Xenopus tropicalis: one gene and its partners. The protein of the gene in region 2 interacts with the protein of the main gene of each other region in a pairwise test. Links are inferred from orthologs where the notes say so. Each region holds a gene or a part of one and is shown on either strand. Other genes may lie near its edges. The genes, in order: cep19, calcoco1 and dual specificity protein phosphatase 13.

Region 1 (5,589 bases), on a different chromosome or scaffold from region 2:
ATGTTATGCTGTTACTGGAGTGGTCAAGTCAGTTCTTAAGGAAAGTAATATATAAACATATGTATACAGATGTGCTTGGCTACATCATCCTGACCAGAGGTAACTGACCTGAATATTTCGAGAAATTTCGGATAGGCATAATGCGCTGACGTGATTTTCCTGCTTCTTTATCTTCATACACCAGAATGATCGCAGGGGGTTGAAAGCGAACCCCACACTTCTTTGCCATGTAGCTCATCTCCCCTTTACAGTTGGGCTGAAACAAGCAATGTAAAATTATTTTTCTTTACAACAAGTCATTATTACAGGTATGGGATCCCTTATCCGGAAACTCATTATCTAGAAAGTTCCACATTACCGGAAGGCCATCTTCCATGGACTCCATTATAAGCCAAGAATTCTAATTTTTAAAAATGATTTTTTTTTTAATCTGTAATAATAAAACTGTACCTTGTACTTGATGGGAACTAAGATATAATTAATCCTTATTGGAAGTAAAACAATCCTGTTGGGCTTATGTAATGATTAAATGATTTTTAATTTAATATACTCAGGGTATGGAGATTCAAATTACCAAAAGAACCCTTTATCTGGAAAACCCCAGGTCCCAAGCATTCTGGATAACAGGTCCTATACCTGTATTGTTAACACATATTTATGAAACACCAATGTATTCCGCAGCTTTATCATTTAAAGATTATATGATAAGGGATGTGTACTGTTTTATCTTTTACTCCTAAAACGCCAATTAAGAAGGATCCCCACAACATGATGCTTTCACCTACCTGATTTATAGTAGTATTGGTATTCTTAGGGTGCTTATAGAAATTTGTCCATGAAAATAGTTTTTTTAATTAATGGCCCATGTTTTTTTCAAATTCTTATGAGTGAAAACTATAATTAATTCTGGATATGGTGGATCTTCATAATTAAGAGGAATAGGTTTTAATATGTTAAAATTTTAATCGGACTCAGCATGTGAGGGAGAGTCAGGTTGATAAATGCTACTCTTGAAAAGATCAAGCATCTTCTTGATGTGCAAAGATACATCATCTATTGCCTATGTGATCTAACAGAAATTTTCAAGTAAACAGTGTTTTATTTAATAATTCTTTTTTGAACATATTCATATCAGAGAAAGTGTCTAATACAGCTGCACTGCTGAAGGGCAAAACCAATAATGGCAAAGCAAATGAACCCAATTCTGAAAAAAAAGTTCCAACCCCAGTGGCATCTTTGTAACTTTTAACTTCAATCCAAAATCAGATTGGTTGCAGTCAGTGTTCCACCCTGATACATTATTCAACTTTCACCAATGCTGATCAAGTTTGCCTAGATCATCCTTATATGAGGGCATAAATGAAAGATTTGTAAGGAAACATTTTTATAGGGCCAAGAACGAGTTGGCTTAGTAAGCAAAGTGACTGAAATAACTATATATGTTTAAGTAGGCTTTGTTTAACCAACTTTGCAAATTCTGAAAAGTAATCTTTTAGGCCATTGGCTCACAGGGCAACGGAAGTGAGTGTGCTGGTAAAGTTCAGGTCCAGGTAGGGGCATAGAAATGAAAATCACATGGTTGTCCATTATCCTTGCTTTCTATAAAGAGGAAGGTGAATGATCAGCTCTCAATTACAAACTGGAATTTTAAGCCAAAATATGTTTCAGAAGTTTGCATATTATTTTTTCAAATCAGCTTCAATCAGTTGAACTTTTTTTTATAAAGAAGTGGATTTTTAGGTCATTATTTTGACTAAGCCCCCTGCTCACTAATCTCCTGATAGGCAGCTATTGTGTGGTCCTGAGCCGCAAGAGATTATATAAGGAGCTTCACCCAAGTGTTCCTCACAGCCTGGAAAGTTTTTGGAAGTTGAAAATCAGCTCAAACTGCTGAGGATCGATAAATATTCCCATATTTGATCAATGATAAATCAGTCTCCAAATCTTTATTTTTGTTAATTTGAACAAAGTATCATGCCTGGGTGCTGCCTATCAAGAACTTAAACAGTCCTTTAAATCATCAGCACACTCCAAGGGCTTGTAAATAATGTTTATACCTCTATTAGTTACAGCATGGTAACTGGTGTCAATGTTTGGTTGTAACTTAAGATCACACTAAAATACACTCCCACCATTACGAGAGACTGGGGATGTATGCTCTTCCTCTGCTTCTGAAGTTTCCCTGTCTTGGAACCTAAGGCGCGCAAAAGTAGCATATAGTAGCATATAGTTGCAATGGCAACATTTTGCTGGTTAGGGACGGGTGCAGGTTGAGTTTTTCCTGACCTGCACATCACTAATACATACTGTATGCATCCCTTATTCAACTCATTCACAGACAGTTAGGAATTTTGAATAGTATACAGGTATAGGATCTTTTATCAGTAATGTTTGGCTTCTGTTGTATTCTGGGTAAGTATTTTTTTCATAATTAGGATCACCATACCTTAGGTTTGCTAAAAACTTTAAATAGACCTAATGGGATATTTTTGCAGCCAATGTGGATCTATGGACATAAGTTATAAATAAGCACAAGGTACCCCCCCCCCCCAAAAAAATGTATATGCCTATAAATCTGATTTATTTAAGGGAAAAAAAATGCCCCCAACCTCCACCACAGAGTTCCTGGGGAAATCTGGTGACGGAGCTGGGGGGGGGGGGGGGGGTGAGGATTTCACGCCATAGGCACTGCGTAAATGACTTAACATCTGCCATGTAGGGGGCGTATTTAGGTCCAGTGCCACCAGCCCTGCCTGTATGTAAACAAGTTATCCTAAAGGTTAACAACCTCTTTAATGCTAATTAACAACATTAAATATTGAAAAATAAAAGCCAATAGTGTTGTTGTGCTACAGCATGGATTTATACTTTAGTATGGTTACCATGAAGTACAAGGTTATTGCCACAAGTAGAAATAAAAAAAAAAATCCATGTTTGTATTTTGGAGCTCTCTGGGGGGAATCATTTTGCATTAACCCCAGACATCACAATAATATCACTATAGAGTATTCCCTTATCCCCTTATCCTCAGACTGGCCAATAACATAACTGCACAAATGCATGAGTATTGTGACTTTACACAGATGCTAAGAGTGATAGTTTAACAAACGACAGTCACAGACAAAATGCAGCTGGGTGCTTACAGGTTTGAGTGCAACATGCACCCTGGGCCATTTACACAGCCCCCCCACCCACTCACCAGAACCACTGGTGCCCCTATAACTTACCACGCTCACTCCTGTGCCAGGAACTGCATTGGCTTAAACAGAGAGTCTGCAGTATTGTTGCCTGTAGCAACCAATAAGCAAATAGATATGAACGGTAACTTGCAAGCTGGAAAACGAAAGCAAAGATCTGATTGGTTGCTGTGGGGGGAAGGGGGAGAGACAAGGACTCCGCGTAATCAGAGCCAAGTCTTTTTTTCCTGAAGGGAAAGCAAGTGGGGGTGGGAGCACTGGCTATTCAGTTGTTCATTAGGCGGCTGCCTTGCCCTTACCTGATCAGTCAGTCAAGCTTCCGACACCCAAAGCCACAGGGAGCGGAGATCTCAAATACTGTCTCTCTATTGTCACTGTGCGAGGTGGGGGCAGGGGGCAGCCAGCACTGTGCCTGAGCTCTTCCTTAGGGGCCTGTTGGTAACACACATTGCTCAGAGATCTGCTAAACAGCCCCACACAGACCGCATTTGTTTATTTCATGTTTTCATTGTTCAAGCCAGCCGATAACTAGTGGCTGTGTTCCCTTGTGGATTCCAATAAATGCACAAAGCGAGTGTAAATTCCTGGCCATCTGCTGTCTTCCAGTGGTTGTGGAACTGCAGTTCTCTGTTTTTGTCTGGGGGGGAAAAAAGCATCAGAAAGCACAAAGAATGGCACCTAGAAGAATATTATATATTAAACTTGTAGAGTGGGTGGGTGACTGTGGCTTTGAAACAAAAGTTTTCAAGGGAGCATAGAACGCAGTGGTGTTGGGAACTTACATAAAAATACGCACAATAATGTGGAAAAAGTGGCAAGAGGAGAGGGGATACCCCACACACATGGGACAGGGAACATATATATCTCAGTCCTTATAGTGTCTGCACTCCAAAGCTTGCAGCTTTGCGGGGTGCACAGCCATATTTTAAGTATTCAGAGATAATTATTCCGTGGCCGTCACATCCTTAAAATTTCTCAATTTTATTTAAGACATATTGTTTTAAAAGAATCTGACGTTTCGGTCCACAATAGGACCTTTCTCAAGGATACAGTAGTGTTCACGATACTTTTAAATACAATCTCAAATTCAACAAGTGGAAAAGTGCCCAATCCCCATCATCAAACTATTATACAATTAGCCAATATTCTTGTGTATGTGCAAATTCAAATGGACCAGTGTCTGACCATTTGCAGTGCATAATAGTTTAAAAAATTCATATAAATTTTATAAATAATCTCATAATAAAACTAGTGTTTCATTCAGTAAAGTATTGTGCATAGTGTATTCACATAATTGCCATATGATATGAATACTTAAAAAGTGCAATGCTATAAAATAGTTATAAAGTGCAATATTTGTTTTGGTTTGCAAAAACCTGTGCATCATCATGTAAGCTCAATAGTGTCCTTGTAAAAAAAAAAGTTCATAAAAAAATCGTGTAGGAAAAGAAATATATTTTTTTTATATAACTCTTAATATATACATATTCAAGCTTATTTTGTGACACTATTTAGGAATATCAAAAAGGTATACAGAATATCCTATAAACCGATCCTTTCGAGTTGATCATGTATGATTAAGAGCTTATATTTTACCATATTTGTCTAGACTAAAAAACAACAAGATTTAATTGTCCGTTTAGACCTCGTGGATTCACACAATTCAATTTGTTTATCCAAAAAGCCTCCCTTCTCAGAAGTCTCTTGCCACTGTCTTGGATGTATCTCAATTTGTTCTATAGGCATGCACCGAAACGAGGAAGCGTCATGTTTTGCCTCAGCCCATTGTTTTGCCACCGGTTGTTGCTTGTGTTCCTCAGTTTTTTGGGGTTTTTGTGGCCCGTTCTGGATCTACAGTAGGGCTGCCCTAATACTCAGTGCATACCTGTCCTCTCTTTTAACTGCCTCACAGTCTTGCCACAATAAAGTAGTCCACATGGACACTTTATAATATATACTACCATGGTAGTCTTGCACGTCATACGTTGTCTAATCTTATACTTCTTTCCAGTGTGCGGATGGGTAAAATCTGTCCCCAAAATGGGGCAATTACACACCATGTACATCTATATTCTCCGGGGTGTGGAAGTGCGTGTGACTTTGTTTTATGTACTTGTCTCTCGGGTCAGTGGGGATTAGTATTTCCTTCAAGTTTCTTGCCCTTGAATAACTAAACTTGGGTCTCTTGCCTATTTTAGACTTCAATTGCTCATCAGTATGCACTACATCCCAATATTTCAAAATAGTGTTTTTAATTTCTTTACTGTTGGGATTAAACCGAGTCACATAATAGACCTCATTATTATTCTCTCTCTGAACTCTGCTCATTTGATCTTGCTGTACCAACACCTGCTCACAATCCACCTCCCTTGCCCATTTCATAACCTCATTG
Region 2 (4,831 bases):
CTGTTCGAAAACTATTGCTCTTTAGGTGCTCAACTGCTCACAGACATCAAACACATTCTCAGAATTGGACTTCTGTATTAGCTTTCATAGATATGTCATTTTGTTAAAAACTTTCTTGACTTTAAGGAAATAAAACTGCAATACATCAAATGTGCAAGTGCTAATACAAGGGGGGGACTGGACAGAATATGCATGGATTTATATTGATTTTTCATCTAATAATCTGTACAAAAGAGATTGTCAATGACATTAAATATTATTCAATAGCAACTGCTTCCATCTCTCGCTCCCTCCTTGCTTATTCTTTCCTCGCTGCTTTGAAGAATTACCCACCTACCTTCAGGCAGCTTTCTTTTCTCTATAGCGGTTCACATAATTAATGCCATTATTGTTATTTTTCCTCTCAACGTTTTACAGCCTAAATGCATTATTTTGCACTTCAGGCACTAAATTTTATCTAGCATACTTCTGCAGCATTCTGATTTACTAGTTGTTACAGCTCAGTATATCTCATGACATTAACTTTCCTTCATGTATTTGTCTCATCTGCAAACAAATCCATTCCATCTCATTTGTTACACCCTTAAGGAAATATTAAATAATGGACTTTGTACATAAATCTGAGGCGCTCAGGCAAAAATATATATATGCAAAATACATTTTTAAATAAAGTGAAAACCTCAATTGCTTTATCTGTTATCAGGGTCATGAAAAAAGGGGTCTGTAGACCCAGCACCTGCAGGAGGTATCCAGGTGTGCAGAGGTTAATTTCAGCATATGTTTGCAAAACATACTATATGCATAAAGGTTGTGGTGTCCTTATTAAATTCTAGTAATTAGAATTTAATACTGACTGTTATTTGATAGGTTTGGAGCTACTTCTCTCTAAGCTTGAAACTTAACCATTAACTGTCTTAGGCCACTGATGTTTATTCTCTCATCCTTCAGAAACTGTTCCTGGTTTCTAGAAGATCTATTCTTCTCTATAAGACTTATATATATAGTACTGAAAGGAACACTCAAATGTAATAAAACAGCTGCCTGGGTGCAAATGAAGATAGTAATAAAGATAGAAAGCACTGCACTCAGGACAGGGAATCACTTAATTGTTTGTTTCCCTTGAGAAAGGTCACTAAGTGTGACCAAAATGTTGGGATTTAAATAAAGCCTTTTTGAGTGCTGTTGAGTGCAATGCTTTCTATTTGTCTTTTTTCTATACCCTAATATGTTTTCTAGTATCTCACCCCTATATCTGCTTATGGAAATTATAATGGAAAGCACTGTATGAATATTTGGTAGATTTTTACCTTAATCCACACAAGTGCAGTTGCTCTAATGGTGTTCACTGAAGGTACTTCATTTGTTATAGGCCCACCTTATCTCCTGTTAGTATTTGTGTACAGAGGTAAGAGCATATATCTTTGTTACCAATTGTTGTGTTTGCAAGTTATAGTCATTGTAGAGTCATGCAAGTTCATTTTGCTGAATGAACACAGTCAAACAAGTATTACTCACTGAATCAACATTGTCCTCAGGGAGAGGCTGCAGTTGACAAGCAATCGGTGCAGGTTGGTTTATCACCACCTTCTGAGGCTCACATGGAAACAACGGTATGTCCAAGGAGATGTCCTCTTTATCAAAGGAACATGCTCCAAGCTTCTGAGATTCTCTCTCATCCCCTGAAGATTCATCATCTGAATCAGAAAGATCCACTGGTGAAGTAGGAGGACCTGTACAGAAGGTACACAAAACATCAGACAGTTCTAAACAGCCTCTACTTTTAAACCATTCTCTGTAAATACTCACATTCAAGGCGATCAACAAAAATAATAATCTGAACTATAATCCCTCTGCAGCTTCACTTGCCAAACTAACATTACTTTCCAAGTGGCATAAACATTTTCTCTCCGTCCCTACTATCCCTTCCTATTATCAGATGGTAGATAGCATGACTAATAACCTGTTTTTATTTACACAAAAAAGCAATTAGTTACAGGAACACCTACAAATGTAAATAGTAACTTATCACGTATAATACATGAACAAGTAGCAGTTTTTAACCTACAGCTTCAACCTGCTGCTGATCTAGAAACTTCTAGAACACCATAACAGCCACTGTACAAACACTGCAGCTGCCAAGGTTGCATGTCACCAGTACATAAGATAAGCAACCGCATCTTCTCTAAGGCATCATGCACAGAACAATAATAGACATATTTAAAAACTAGCCAATAAATGAAATCTAGGACAACAAGGGGTAAATGTTAAATCATACAGAGGGCACTTAAGTGCATACTTAGGTCTGCTGTTGTTTCTTCCATAAGTATCTCTTCTTCTTTCCATTTCTCATCAGCCAGCTTGTCTAGCCGTTCTTCCAGCCTATGAACATACTGGAGCATTTCCTAAAACAAAAAAAGAACAAAGAAGGTAAACCATGAGACATGTCATTAATAAGATCAAATAAAGGTATGAGATTCCTTATCTGGAAAACCATTATGCAGAAAGCTCAGAAACTTTAGATATTATTTCAATTTTCTCTGTAATAATAAAACAGTACTTTGTGTTATATATATATATATATATATACACACAATATATATATATATATATATACACACAATATATATATATATATATATATACACACAATATATATATATATATATATATATAAATATAGATGTATATTTCTATTGTTCTGTATAGTTGTTAGTGGTTAAGTAAGCATAAAAATGAAATGTTTTAGACAAGTGTTTAATTAGATGAATGTATATTAAATCAGAAGTAATGTAACTAAAAACCACCATCCCATAGGTTGCTATACAAAAGGTATCAGCATTTCTGCTTGTGCTGCCTTGCTCCATTACCCACATGTGGCACTTACTTCTGCAGAGCAGATGCTTGATGACAGGCAAGTAATGGAGATATGGCGGTAAATGTCTCACCTGCCTTTCCTCTCTCAGTTGCTCCTTCTCCATCTGTGCAACTTTTAGGGCAGATTTCAATTCACTCAGCTCTCGTCTGTTCTCGGATAACTGTACCTGTACCGTGGTAGACAGATAAGGAACTGCAGTAGATTCATTGCTGGAAATAACTTTTCCCAGATTTATAAATTATTAACATTATTATTATTAACATTTATTTATAAAGCGCCAACATATTCCGCAGCACTGTATAAATGCTGTTATTTTATCACACCTTTCTGGTTCAGAGAAGCTCTAATTGAGCAAGATTCTTATGGCAAAAGTTTAGATGCAGAGGACAAAAAGACAACTTTATTATGTGAAAATACACAACGCTGTATTTTCAAAATGCCTGATGCATTTAGGGAAAAGAGGAAAATCATGGTATAATGATGTACATTGAAGAAGGCAGTCTGTGTTGGGCATCTATTGAGCTCCTTATAAAACATATATGCAAAACACAAGCATTGTCATGCTTTGTCTTGGTCCAACTGACCACTGCATTCAAAGAATGTATGGCTACATTTAATAACTACTTTATCCAAGGTCACACGATGCCAACACTAGAATCAGACTCAGGCTTGTCGATATAGTTTACCTCCATCTTTCTACAGTGTCCATTACTAACTAAACATTGTTCTAGTTCAAATAATAAGCTTCCAGTAAAGTATGGCCTCCCAGAGTATGGGGGTTCTGGGGGTAGTACCTGTCTGGCATCTGATTCCTGGTTAAGTTTGCACTGCAATGTTTGCCTCTGACTTTTCTCCTCCTGCAGACTGCTTTCCAGGCTTAGTTTTTCTGCTTTCAGATTCACAATCTGATCCCTCTTGGCCTGCAATATAGAAGACAGTTTCTCTGGCTTAGCTTACAGAATAAGGAACCTTAATTCTAACTGGTTGGTGTTACACATGCACTTTACTTCTGCACTTGTTTTCCAAGAGCCATTACATACAGTATATACCTTCTGTATTGCAACATACCGCACAGCAAGAGATTTTTTTTTTTTTTTTTTACAGAAAAATAAATTACTTACAGGAATGAAAGTACCCAAGCTTGTAGTTCTTTGTATAGTTTTGACAACTGATTTATTTTAAATGGAACGCAGAATAAGTTAAAAACAGAAGTTTAAACATTAGGCTGGCTAATAATAAAATAACTTCAGCTACAAAATGCTACAATGATACCATTTATACCTTTAGCTGCTACATTTTATGTCATTATGTACATTCTTCTTGAGCAAATTGCCCAGGTTTGTTAGTATAGCAAAAAAGGGAAAGTTGTGCTCACCACTATATTTAAAACCATTAGGTGGGGGTGCAATGAGGCTGTGACCACAAATTAAATTAAAACTAAATTAAAAACAACAAGAGATGCTCTGCACTCACCAAACAATGCCCACCCCTTTAAGCAAAACAGGGATTGTTTGTCCATATATTGCAATATACTTCAAGCTGCGTCAAAGTCATCCCCAATCTGGCCAGTCCTACACTCACTTATCTGATTCATAAAAGGGGACCTGTCACCCTAAGAAATAATTCCAAATTGTTTTCTATTGTGTTTGTCAAGCAAAATAAACTTCACCTACACTGTAGAAATTATTTTAATCTTATTATCTTCAGCCTTGGAATTCACAATTGCAGTAAGCAGGCAGGCACCATTTTGTGGACACGGTTATTAAGGCAAGCTTTGCATCCTGCCAAAATCTTGTTTCTGTGCCAGTATGGGGGGACCGGATACCCATATCCATGCACTGGATACACAATTAGATGGTGAGGAGGGAGGGGGGATGTGAGGGGAACAGCAACATCCAATAAGTTCTGAATTGAAAGTGAACATAACTGTCTGCCCCACCTCTATGCCTAAGGCAT
Region 3 (5,456 bases), on a different chromosome or scaffold from region 2:
ATAATCGGTTAAAGGGGACCTGTCACCCTAAGAAATAGTTCCAAATTGTGTTTGTCAAGCAAAATAAACTTCACCTACATTGTTGAAATTATTTTAATTTTATTCTCTTCTGCCTTGGAATTCACAATTGCAGCATGCAGGCAGGCACCATTTTGTGGACACTGTTATTAACGCAAGCTTTGTATCCTGACAAAATCTTGTTTCTGCCAGTATGGGGGGACCTGATACCCATGTCCATGCACTGGTTATGAAACTATCTGTAACTATCAGTAACTGTCTGCCCTGAGGCATAGAGGTGGGGTAAGCAATATATGATTTACAGCTGGGATGTTTAAATGCTTTTATATGGGTATGGGTGTGTTAATAAAAAATGCTTTTGGTTTCATATTTAATTTGAAAAGGGCTTTTATTATACAGCTTTTCATGCCTGGGTGACAGGTCCACTTTAATGTAAAAGGTAAAGGGTTCCCTGGGTAAAAGAGCTTGAAATCTTAAAGAGAGAAGATGCTTGTGCATTACCCCTCTACGTGTCGATGCTACACTGTTCACACCCAGTTCCATATATACATACAATATATATATATGTAAAAAAAATTCTAAGCAACTTTTTTAACATGAATTTATTTAAAATATTTTTAGTGCTTTAAAAGCTATTCTTAAATGTAATTGCTATAGAACCCAGCATTTGTTGTTGCTTGTTGTGGCTTTTTAAACAATGTTGCAAAGGTCTCCTCCAGCAGGACAGGTCTGTCAATCAGCTGGCTTCTAGCTTGTGTTACATTGTTTCAAAAGTCAGAGCCACCAGGGCAGAGAATAGTAAAGGACAGATACACACTGCTTTTAATAACAATAAAATATACAAATAACTTATTAAAAATTACAAATTTGTAATGAATGTTTCAACAACATCAGATGACATTCTGAATGTTTATAAAAATGTAGTAGAAGAGGAACAGAAGATTTTACTGGGCCGTAAAGCAAATCTTTTCAGACTTACACAGCAAGACAAATACAGAGGAAGTGAACCTATTCCCCACAATAAAGGCAAAGATTTTGTCATTTTTAACAATTGCTTTATTCTTGGGTAAGGGAACCTTTAATTACTTCAATGTGCATGGACTGGGACCCTCAGAAGAGGTTCTAAGGCAACATCCAGGTGGGATTAAAGTGGCCAGATGATTCTTTCAGCTGAAGCAACATTTGCATCTAGGAATGTATTGGATGCTGCTCAGGTATTCATCAAATGAGCTAGTTCTCAGAGGTTACACAGAACTTTGCACTGCATCCCAGAAACACTTTCAGTTATGTTACTTCCACTGGTCATCTATGTGTGCACCAAATTATTCATGAACAGGAATAAAGCAGTGGCAAAATGCAGGCATGACAGGCTATTCACAACCCAAGTTCATGCACTGTGGATGCAATGTCTGGGCAAGTGCACAAGGCAAGAATTGTATTGAAGGGCAATTCTGACACTAAGGGGCTGATTTACTAAGACACGATTTCAAATCCGAATTGGAAAAATTCCGATTGGAAACGAACATTTTGTGACTTTTTCGTATTTTTGGGATTTTTTCGGCGTCTTTACGATTTTTTCGTAAAAACGCGAGTTTTTCGGCGTCTTTACGATTTTTGCGTAAAAACGCGAGTTTTTCGGAATATCGTAAAGACGCCGAAAAAATCGCAAAATTACCGATCATTACGAAAAAAACGCAATCGGACGCATTCGGCCCGTTTGTGGGTTAGTAAATGTGCCCCTAAGCCTGCTTAGTTATACATCAAATTTAGAGGTTACTACAGAACTCATCAGAGATGCTATACATCAGACTGATACTATACATTGGAAAGCTCAAGTAGGAAGTTGGGAAACAGCAGTCCTCTAGTTAATATATGGTTACATTTAGTTGAGTCTGCATAAGCATTCATCCAATTCACTGGTTTCCTGAGATTCATCACGATGTGCACCATGCCAGCTACCTCAACACTAATACAAATATTTAAAATGTTCTTCTTATTACGCTTCTTGCAAAAGACTGTCTGAGGTAGGAGGATAGTTCGATGCTATGCCTCCATTCAAATGAAATCCAAATGAAGTGTGAAATTCTGCTGCCAGTGAAAGTTTAAACTGCACTGTCATGCTCTATCAAAAATAGCTTTTTAGGCCTGGACTTTGGAACACTATCCTAAGTAACCCTATACTTTTGGTCTTCTTTCAGGCTTCCTGTATGTGGCACCTAGCACATCATATGATAAAATTAACAATTATAAAAATAGATTCTAAAAAATATATCCTTGAGTTACTGTATACACATTAGGAAGAAGGATCAGCTTTGCATGAGACGGAAAACACAAGACGCTGAGAGTGAGAAAATTAAAGTGAAACAGAAGAAAAGGATTGAAACAGGTGTGTTCTAAATTCAGATAGGCATGGTTAAAGGTACAAATCAAGTTTAATATTACCTGTAAATGTATTTGTATCAATAGTATTCATGGATGAAGAAGGTATGAAAAAATTTAAAGTGAAGTTACCTGTACGTTTACTTTAAAAACTATAAAAAATAAAAAAGTTATCATATTTCACATCAAATAATAGGGTCACTGCCCCATGCAGCCAAAAAAAACTGTTGTACTGTAAGGCTACAATTTTACTGTTACTTTTTATTCCTTATCTTTCTATTCATGCCAAATTATCTTTATCTCTTCAGTCTCTCATGGAAACATCTGCCTAGTTGCTGAGGTAAACTGGACCTTAGCTACAAGATAACATACAATAAACAACAAATTAGCAGTGAAACCTGTGGTGTTTGGTATAGTATGGTTTGCTTTTTGAATTTTTGTGACTAATTAGAACCATTAAATGTTTGCATGTTTCAGTGCTTATTTGTTGTTTATTGTATGTATTCATATACAGACCTTAGCAATGAGATAAAGACACTTTTTTTCTGTATTATTTATTCTTAGTTACAAGACAACTGAAATGGCAAACTAGAGATTTGCTGAACAAAAAACTACATAATTTTTATACTATAAAATATAAAAAATAAATACCTGATTTAATACCTATTTAAATACCTATTTAAAGGTGGACTGAACAGATTCAGTCTGTAAAGTATTTCTTTTAGTTACTTGTTTAGTTCCCTCAGGTCTAAAATGGCTCTAAATTTTTAAAGGTGAACTACTCCTTTAAAAGTTGTTTTATAAAAATGTCTGTATTATACAGGAAGAAAATACATTTCTCCCTGCACCATCCTCACTAATTACAAAATACATATTCTTTACATCTGCATATTACAGCATTTCATTTTAACAACTTTCCTTGGGCATTTCTTGCATTCCCCTGCAGTTCACATTGGAGGATTTTTGTACCACTTGGACTACAACAAAAAGGGTCAACGAAGTGTTGGAGTCACAATAGCATATAAGTAATTTGGACAAAAGGTTGGCTTTTTATGAAGTATTTAACTCATGTTTCCAAATAAAAGATATAGGAACATGAGCTGCTGTCCCTATAAGAAACAGGTGATAACAGGGAAAAAAAACCTACAAAATGACTGGCAGGATTTCAAAATAAAAATATCATACTGCAAATATTGAGTAGAGGGCAGCTGGGTTGTATAATCTGAACATTGGGAAGTTAGTAGATGGGTTGCTGTGTATGTTTGTTAAATATGGAGGAGGTATACTAATAGAGAGCTGGAGATACAGCTAGATGATTTATCCAATTTAATGCATATAAGGCAGGGATCCCCAACCTTTTATACCCATGAGCCACATTTAAATAGAAAAAGTGTTGGAGAACAACACAAGCATGAAAAGGGTTCCTGGGGGTGCCACTAAGAGCTATAATTGGCTACTTAATAACCCATATGTGGACTGGCAGCCTACAGAAGGCTCTGTTTGGCATTATACTTGGTTTTTATGCAACGAAAACTTGCCCCTAGCCAGAAATTCAAAAATAAGCACCTGCTTTGAGGCCCCTGGGAGCAACATCCAAGGGGTTGGCAATATGTTGCTCATGAGCCCCTGGTTGGGGAACACTGATGTAAGGTGTAAGAAAGCTGGGCATTGTTGTCCTGCATTAGCTATAGGATCCATATTTTGTCATATGCCCCCATATCCTTTTTGAGAGAATAGGTGAGTTGTTCTTTGGTGGCTTTATGCAATCTTTTGGCTTTTAATATTGATAGTGGGAATGAGGGTTTCTTCCAGTTGCTGGCTATAATGAATGACATTAAAATATGTTGACCCAGTCTGTGTTCTGCATTGGAGAATTTGTTTTCTTTGGGCCTTTGGGAAGCCACTAATGCAGGGGTCCCCAACCTTTTTTTACCAGTGAGTTGGGGAGCAACACAAGCATAAAAAATATTTCTTGGGGTTCCCAATAAGGGCTATGTTTGCCTATTTGGTATCCCCAATGTGGACTGGCAGCCTACAGGAGGCTCTGTTTGGCAGTACACCTGTTTTTTATGTTTTAAAAACTTTCCTTCAAGACATTTAAGAATAAGCACCTGCTTTGAGGCCACTGGGGGCAATATTCAAAGGGTTGGTGAGCAACGTGTTACATAAGAGCCAGTGGTTAGGGATCACTGCTCTAAAGCATTGGGAATTGCTGCCTAGTTAATAGTATTATAGTAATATTTTAGTTTCCTATTGGCAATGGTTCTAATCTGTTTAACATGAGTATTACAGGTATGGGACCTGTTATCCAGAGTGCTCAGGACCTAGGGTTTTTCCCCAATAAGGGATCTTTCTGTAATTTGGATCACTATACTATGGGGCTGATTTACTTACCCACGAACGGGTCGAAATGAGTCCGATTGCGTTTTTTTCGTAATGATCGGTATTTTGCGATTTTTTCGTATGTTTTGCGATTTTTTCGGATTCTTTACGAATTTTTCGTTACCAATACGATTTTTGCGTAAAAACGCGAGTTTTTCGTATACATTACGAAAGTTGCGTAAAAAGTTGCGCATTTTTCGTAGCGTTAAAACTTAACGCTATGAAAAATGCGCAACTTTTCGCGTAAGTTTTAACGCTACGAAAAATGCGCAACTTTCGTAATGTATACGAAAAACTCGCGTTTTTACGCAAAAATCGTATTGGTAACGAAAAATTCGTAAAGAATCCGAAAAAATCGCAAAACATACGAAAAAGTCGCAAAATGTTCGTTTTCAAGTCGGAACTTTTCCAATTCGGGTCGGATTCGTGGGTTAGTAAATCAGCCCCTATAAGTCTACTAAAAAAACATTTAAACATTAAATAAACCGAATAGTATTGTTTTGCCATGTCAGATACCTTGATCACAGCAAGCCAGCAAAATACTACTGGATAATTAGCCAAACCAATGACAGGCTGTATATAGATCTCTAAGCAGTTGCTGGAGCATGTGCATTAAGCGATTAAAGCTGATAGTGCCCTTGTTTCGTTATGTGTGACAAAATCATCATTTTAATGCA

Evidence for each region.
Region 1: the proteins of calcoco1 (region 2) and cep19 interact in binary tests that used the Homo sapiens proteins (3 or more experiments, as listed by UniProt). The two-hybrid records come from large-scale screens. The link is inferred for Xenopus tropicalis from reciprocal best matches to the Homo sapiens genes CALCOCO1 and CEP19.
Region 3: the proteins of calcoco1 (region 2) and dual specificity protein phosphatase 13 interact in binary tests that used the Homo sapiens proteins (3 or more experiments, as listed by UniProt). The two-hybrid records come from large-scale screens. The link is inferred for Xenopus tropicalis from reciprocal best matches to the Homo sapiens genes CALCOCO1 and DUSP13B.

The regions. Positions count from the first base shown.
Region 1 is NC_030681.2:133,901,991-133,907,579, forward strand, and holds the start of cep19 (centrosomal protein of 19 kDa), read right to left. Parts: upstream 3,270-5,589; 5' UTR 3,228-3,269; intron 2,217-3,227; exon of another isoform or gene 2,058-2,216; intron 257-2,057; 5' UTR 239-256; coding exon 109-238; intron 1-108. UniProt on the Homo sapiens protein: Required for ciliation. Recruits the RABL2B GTPase to the ciliary base to initiate ciliation.
Region 2 is NC_030678.2:146,549,503-146,554,333, reverse strand, and holds part of calcoco1 (calcium-binding and coiled-coil domain-containing protein 1), read right to left. Parts: intron 3,796-4,831; coding exon 3,670-3,795; intron 3,042-3,669; coding exon 2,946-3,041; intron 2,403-2,945; coding exon 2,297-2,402; intron 1,731-2,296; coding exon 1,516-1,730; intron 1-1,515. UniProt on the Homo sapiens protein: Functions as a coactivator for aryl hydrocarbon and nuclear receptors (NR). Recruited to promoters through its contact with the N-terminal basic helix-loop-helix-Per-Arnt-Sim (PAS) domain of transcription factors or coactivators, such as NCOA2.
Region 3 is NC_030683.2:55,066,439-55,071,894, forward strand, and holds the start of dual specificity protein phosphatase 13, read left to right. Parts: upstream 1-2,318; 5' UTR 2,319-2,404; intron 2,405-5,456. UniProt on the Homo sapiens protein: Dual specificity phosphatase that dephosphorylates MAPK8/JNK and MAPK14/p38, but not MAPK1/ERK2, in vitro. Exhibits intrinsic phosphatase activity towards both phospho-seryl/threonyl and -tyrosyl residues, with similar specific activities in vitro.